2 linked regions of the Tribolium castaneum genome follow. The protein of the gene in region 1 interacts with the protein of each later gene in a pairwise test. Links are inferred from orthologs where the notes say so. Each region holds a gene or a part of one and is shown in the gene's direction. Other genes may lie near its edges.

Region 1 (4,048 bases):
TACCTCCATCTTCGAGCGCTGGCAGCTCTTCTTCATGCAACTTCAGGTCGCTTTCTTTGATTTCTCCGTCGAAAATTTTCGCAACGGTGTACACTTGTGCCTTCACCATCTTGATCGGAGCTAATGACGCCAATTGTCGAAAATCACGTCCTTATCTCCGGTTTTATCTGATCGTTTCAGATTCATCAGATCATGTTGAGAGATGCACCGAGGAATAAGGCTTACAAGCAAGCGATTTTTGACAATGCTGACCAGATTTTGGGGAGGAGGGTTTTGGACGTGGGGGCTGGGACTGGGATTTTGTCGGTTTTCTGCGCCCAAGCTGGGGCTGCCAAAGTCTATGCCGTTGAGGCAAGTAACGTGAGTAAGATAGCTCGAGAGGTGATCAAGGAAAATGGGTTCGATAAGGTGATTGAGGTGAGTAAGTGATTGGATCTTATCAATAGTTGTAATGTAGTTATTATGGATCGAGTGCGCTGCAGACAATAGATTATCATAATTATTGTGGGTTAATTGGCGCTTAATCTCGCGTGATTACGTGATAATTTATGTATAAATGATCGTTTTTCACGTTTTTAACAAAAAGAAATTGAAATTTAATTTATTTTGAAAATAACTACTAGTAACATTTGGTTTGTAATTTTTTATAGTCAAATGTTCTTCTTACATGCCTTGTTTTTTTAATTATAATCAAAACACGGGATGATACGTGAAAAATAAAAATAAAATAAAAATTTGAGAAAACAAAAAAAAATTAGTTAAAACCCTAACTACTTGTTGTCGGTTCATAATTTTTTTTATCGTCAAAAACCTTTTCGACAAGCTTTGTTTTCTGTAAAAATTATGGCAACCGCTACACTTGAGAAAAAATATTGTTTGTGATGATATTAAAAAAAAGAAAAAAATTGTTAAAGCTTTCTAAGTATTAAATACTTAAAAAATTTAATTAAAAGCTTTGTTTTTTGCAAATATTAGTATAAGTGATACTTATTTCTAGGAATATAATAAAAAAAATTGAAAAAAGCAAAAAAAGAACCTAATTGAATCCTAAATAGGATTTTCGATTCATAATGTTTTTACAGGGAAGAGCTTTTTTTCTCTACAGATCTCGCAGAGATCTCGTGTTGTTTTGTGATTTTTTAAACATAGTGTTTCGACCAAAATCATATTTAAACTTCCGATAAAAAGCAAAAGGAACAACTTTTTTACCAAATTCGGTGATTTTTTTGGGTAATTTTAGACGAAATTTTTCTGAATAATTGCGCTTTTGGACGAAAAACATATCATTTTCGATCCAGTTATTGAGTTTTTAGCCAGGTTTAGCAAAATTTTGTAAAATCTACGTTTCTATCTCAATAATGTACCACTCGAAAAATAAAAAAAAATCTCCAATGTTAAGATTTTTGGAAGAAGCAAAAAGGACCTTTCGATCCAGTTTAGTAATATTTTATAAATTTTGTGAATTAAGTGCGTTTTTTAAAAAGAGGTGAAACGCTTAAAGTCGTAGGCAAAAGAAAATGTCATTTCTAATGTTGTTTTTTTTATAGAATTTTTCAAAATAATGTGTTTATGTTTAAACAGTGTGCTAAAATGTTTGGAAAAGGAAAAGATATTTTCTGACTTCTCTTACTTTCAACACAATTCGACATTTTTCGGAATATTTTTTGTTAAATTTGGCAAAATAATTGAAAAAATAGGGGAAATAAAATAATTTTTCAACAAATTTTTGATTTCTCGTCTCATTTTAATACAATTTTCTCATAAAACTGAGTTTAAGTGCTCCAATAAGGCAAAAATAATAGCATTTTTTATCCAATTTAACGATTTTTTGGAATAATTTTCATACAAAATGACGCATTATCTACGAATTTTTTTGTGTAATTAACTAAGTAATGAAAAGGTCAATAAACTTCTAAAGGTTTGAGAAGTGAAATAAATTTCCAAGTCCACCAACTGTATCTTATATAAAATCAATCTAGAACTTGTTATTTAATGAAGTGTGTTTTTCCAGATTAAATTCAAAATGTAGTTCACTTACTGTAGAAATTCTCGATTGTAATAATAGATAAAAATCTGTGATCTTTTAGAACTTTTTCATAAATTATTAAATTATTACTGAAAAATATGAACGGAAATATTTCCCTCTAAAATCTCCAAGCTTTTAATGGAGCTACATTTTATTTTATTTTAACATTTATCTCATCTATTCGACAGTGCATATTGTTTATTTATGTTTTTATTATTAAATAAATTAAAAATTTCACTTGTGAAGGCACTAAGAACATATTTTTGGGAAAATAACTAGGTACAATAAACGGTTTATTATGTTACAAAAAGTGAAAGAATTGCAAAATCATTCATAAAAATTTTTTGTGACTAATCTGTCATAATACGATAAATCAAATCGATGATAAATTAGATAAGCGAACATGAAAATTTCTGAATCATTTCATGTTTGACGCAAATACAGATTTTAGAACTCAGTGAATTGGCAATAATTAAAAAAAAATTTTGACAAACGAAATTTCATCAGAAATATTTTCAATGTTTACTTCGGAAGATTCCAGTTACGACTGGAGCTATCTTTTGTGCCCTTTTAGGTGATTAATTCCAGAATTGAGGACACAGTTTTGCCGGAAAAAGTCGACATAATAGTATCAGAATGGATGGGCTTCTACCTTTTGCACGAAGGCATGCTAGACTCTGTAATTTTCGCCCGAGACAAATTTCTCAAACCGGGCGGTTTAATGTTCCCCGAATCGGCAACAATTTACTCAGCTCCTTGCTGGTTTGTGTTTTTCACTCTCGCAAAAAAAAACAATAATAAAATAAAACTCCTAGCGTCCCCTCAATGTTCGACTCCTGGGGCAACATCGAAGGCGTCTCCATGAAAAGCTTCAGCGAGAAGCTCCGCACTGAGGCATCGCACAAACCCAGCACTGTTTCGGTGGCCAAAGAGCACATTTTGGCCGATCCTGAGGTGCTGCTGTGGATTGATTTACGCGAAGTAACGCAGAAAGAAGTTGACGGGTTTAAGGTCCAGCACATCGCTGTGGCAACCAAGGCGGGGAAGTACCAAGGGATTTGTTTGTGGTTCACTTGCACGTTCCCGTCTTTTGTGACTGAACCCGTCACCCTATCCACTGCTCCTGAAGATCCAGAGACGCACTGGAAGCAAACAACTATCGTTCTCCCGACTGAAATCCAAGTCGAGCAAAAAGCGCCAATTGCCTACGAATTATCCCTAGCTCGAGCTCAGGAAAATCCAAGACGGTACAACATTGAGGTGACCATGCTGGACCCTGCCGAGGTCGAACATCCAGAATATTGTGCCTGTCATATGACTAAATGTATTCTAGTTTGGGCAATGTTGGAAAAATATGAGAAAGAAAGTATGGGTAAATAAATGTGTGGTCTCGATTTTTTTGCTTTGATTTCCCCGGATTTCCTCTGATTTCCTTAAGATTTCTCCTAATTCTTTCACAATTTAGTTATCATAATAGGTATTTTTGTAATTTGGAATAATTTGGAGCAAATGCAAAAAAATTATTATCACTCGACAGCTCCTCAAAAAAACAAGTTATATGCTGTTTTGCTTTAAATAAATAAATATTATTATTTTAAAATTGGCAAGAATGAGATGTTAGAAAAACCTTCGGTACTGTATATAAAGCGGCATTTCTCTAATTTTACATGAGAAGTTTACAGACGACTAGATGATTAAAACACATTTTTCTTTTTATAAAAAATCATACTTCGTGATTCTGCTTTTACAAGAAAGTATTGTTTAAAAAAAATCGAAAACGGAAAAAGTAATAAAAGCTTATTAAATCTAGTTGTATAATATCAAATAAGACACTGCCATTATTATCTCAAAAGCTGCACATTGCCGATTTTTTTTCTAAAATACCTACTTACTACACATCTGTCAAATGTCTTATTTTTCTTGTAACTAGATTATTTTTAACGTCAATATTTTTATTGACACCATGCAACTAGATTATTATTGTTTTTTATTTAATAAATGTAAATTAAAATTTAAAATAAA
Region 2 (3,139 bases), on another chromosome or scaffold:
ATTGAACATGACTTGATGCCTCGGTATTTCCCCGGTACAAAGTCTTGGCCATTTGCGTCTTTCCCCCAACGAAGCGAGGTAATACGGCCGCATGTAGTGATCAGTTGGAGTTTCCTAAAACCATTTCTGACTTCATAGCCAACAATACAATAACACACAAACATTGAAACCATTTAGGCGATATGTAAAAATCCCCAGTTCGGGCACATCCTCAAAGTAACCAGTCACGTATCCCGCCTTCTTGTACTCATTCCAAATAAACGGGTACGAGTTCACGAATTTCGTGTTTGCGAACCGTTTTCTCGTATCAGGGAGTTCCAGTTCGGTCTTCCCCGTTAAAATCGGTATTAGGGCTTGCGGGGTTCCGTCCCCGATTATGTTATACCCTTGTAGAACGTCCCCGTGCAATATTTCAGTCAAAAACTTGTAGCTTTTGGGCAACTTTCGCACGAAAGAGTTGCGCGAAATTGAGTCGAAACCGAACATCAAAACGTTGAACTTCACAGCGTCCGAGGGTAGTTTACTCCAACTAGTATTCTCCCAAATTTTTTTATCGAGGCGAATTCCGGTCAAAGTCGCCGACCATTGGGCCTTTTGCCCCCGACACGAAACTTTGACTACATCGCTCGCTTCGAGTTTATAGTAGGAGTCTGAGTAGGTTGTTTCCCCACTGGTTGACTCAAAATCATTGACTCGGATTATATCAGTGAAAGAACAAGTGACGCGTCCGTGTCTCGCCTTAATTTCGTCCTGGATTCGACACTCGCTACCCTTGAATCAGCGTTTGAGAGTTGTGCTAAAATTCGGCAAAACTTTACTTGGCATTTGACCCAGTCCGGCCCTGCCGATGAACAGTCAATTGGGGGCTCCTCATGGACGAATTTCATCATTTCGGGGGAAAATACCGGCAAGTTGGGCTGTTTGCAAGCCAGGGAGCTCGCCTGTGAGTGAATCAGTTCGTCGATTTTTTCCCTAAAGGCCACAAATTCGAATTTACGAAAATAACTCATTCATACTCACAATCGGAATTTTCGGTCGATGTCATTTATTGGAGAGTCCCGTGTTACTATAAGTAACATCAGAATACCAAAGGCTGAAGAAATGGCCAGAAGAAACACTTTTCTGATTTGCATTGTTCTAATTATGCGCATTTTGTAACTAAAACCGTCCACTACCAACACGCCTTTAATAGCATTTGGGGTGCCTTATCACAATCATGATAACGAAAGTATTGTTTTCAACGCTTTATGGAACAAATCCATTGAATTTGTTACGAAACACAACAAAACATGATGACAAACGCCGGTGGGGCTATTTGTCACACCGATTTGTCAAATTGGATCATAGAATAAGAAAATAGCACCAAAAATCATGAACATTACAGTCGACCAAACAATCGCTGCCAAATTGGGTGCTTTCCGAAACGTCACCCTGACAAAAATCAAAAAGTTTGGACAAACTCACCGACTTATTTGTACACAATTAGTGATTCGCCCCCACGACTGCCTGCCATTTTGAGTGATATTTAATTATAATTTAATAAGCTGTATTAATTTATTGCGATTTATGGAACGTGCCAGTTTTACCAAATGTCAAAAAATGATAGGTTATGTCGTAAAGTGCCCGCCTTTTTCGTTTCATTTTCATTTTGTTAATAATTTTTAAGTGTGAAAATGGAAGTGAGTAGTGCGTCGACAACCGATGATTCATTTTACTCAAACGCCGTTCAGTATTGGTCCGAGATCCCCCCAACCATCGACGGTATGCTCGGCGGTTTCGGGCACATCTCTCAGACCGATATTAGGGACTCCAAATTGCTGCTCAAGCAGCTGTTTAACTCGAAGGAGCCCCCAGGCCGGGGGCACGCCCTTGACTGTGGTGCCGGCATTGGGCGCATAACCAAGCACCTCCTTAGCGATTTTTTCGATCAAATTGATCTAGTCGAGCAAAATCCAAAGTTTCTAAGTCAAGCCGAACAGTATTTAGGGCCCAAGTTGCAGGAGAAGGTTAATTATTATTCTGTGGGGCTCCAGAGTTTCAAGCCCGAGAAACAGTACGATGTTATCTGGTGCCAGTGGGTTTTGGGGCACTTGACAGATCTGGATTTAGTTACGTTTTTAAAGTCGTGCCAGTAAGTGTTTGCCACTTTTGGTTACAGTTTTTATTTGAAATTAATTATTCTTCCAGAAGTGGACTTAAACCAAATGGTGTCATAATAATCAAAGAAAACATTTCGTCAAGTGAGGAAATTGACAAAGACGAGCGAGACTCTTCAGTCACACGCCCCTTGTCTTTATTCCGCCAAATATTCGCAAAAGCTGACTTGGACTGTTACCGACAAGTGAAGCAACGAAACTTCCCCAAGGGCTTGTACACGGTCTACATGTTTATCCTACGACCCCAAAAACAACACGTACCTGATGAATAAAATGAAATAACTATTTTACGAAACGTTTTATTTAATTGTACAAATTAAGCTTTCAACGCGAACTTCCTCTGGGGGTAGATCGACCTCTTGTGGAGCTCCTTGGGCGTCTTGATGCGTCTCTCGTGTTTGGTGAGCGCACGGCGCAAAGCCCTGGTCTTCTTAGGTCTCAAATCCAGAGGCTTGTATTTCTTGTTCTTGTACAACTTCCGCAAATTCTCTTTTTGCTTCTGGTGCATCACAATGTACACGCGAGCGATGGCTTTGCGTACAACGCGACTGTAATTCGAGCATTACTTGGTGGCTGAAGCAAAACAACACTTACATCTTGGACAGTTTCGAGGGGGCGCCGCCCGTCACTTTGGCCACCCTGAGACTTGTGAGCTCGGTTTTGAGCTCATCGAGCTGCTTGGTGAGCTCCTTCTTGTCGCGAGTTCGCAGTTCGGAGCACTTTACCTTACCCTGAAAAAATTGTAGGTTAGTTAACCTAACGGACACAAACACGAAATTTGCGAGGAAAGAGGGAAATAACGCAATGCAAGAGTCGGGGGACGGTAATGGGGGCGAAACTTGGTCGTTTGGTTACCAGATGATCCGTAAATTATAAAATAAACTCAGATTTATTTAACTTACCATTCTGCCTTCCGCAACAACAATCTGAAAGAATTTACGTCGGTTAAGTTGGCACTACGACACCAGTTTAAATTTCTTAAA

The links.
Region 2: the proteins of Art8 (region 1) and Ntmt interact in a two-hybrid assay, tested with the Drosophila melanogaster proteins (2 studies listed by BioGRID). The link is inferred for Tribolium castaneum from reciprocal best matches to the Drosophila melanogaster genes Art8 and Ntmt.

What each region holds. Positions count from the first base shown.
Region 1 is NC_087396.1:23,002,241-23,006,288, reverse strand, and holds the end of Art8 (protein arginine N-methyltransferase 6), read left to right. Parts: intron 1-3; coding exon of another isoform or gene 4-109; exon of another isoform or gene 110-158; intron 159-180; coding exon 181-417; intron 418-2,600; coding exon 2,601-2,788; intron 2,789-2,841; coding exon 2,842-3,406; 3' UTR 3,407-3,420; downstream 3,421-4,048. Other genes in the region: prostaglandin reductase 1, read right to left, coding at 4-109.
Region 2 is NC_087398.1:11,363,485-11,366,623, forward strand, and holds Ntmt (N-terminal Xaa-Pro-Lys N-methyltransferase 1), read left to right. Parts: upstream 1-1,430; 5' UTR 1,431-1,589; coding exon 1,590-1,606; exon of another isoform or gene 1,607-1,609; coding exon of another isoform or gene 1,610-1,614; intron 1,615-1,666; coding exon 1,667-2,131; intron 2,132-2,187; coding exon 2,188-2,428; 3' UTR 2,429-2,451; downstream 2,452-3,139. Other genes in the region: uncharacterized protein LOC659581, read right to left, coding at 1-114, 163-771, 819-972, 1,021-1,151; RpL35 (large ribosomal subunit protein uL29), read right to left, coding at 2,473-2,704, 2,751-2,887, 3,059-3,061. UniProt on the Drosophila melanogaster protein: Alpha-N-methyltransferase that methylates the N-terminus of target proteins containing the N-terminal motif [Ala/Pro/Ser]-Pro-Lys when the initiator Met is cleaved.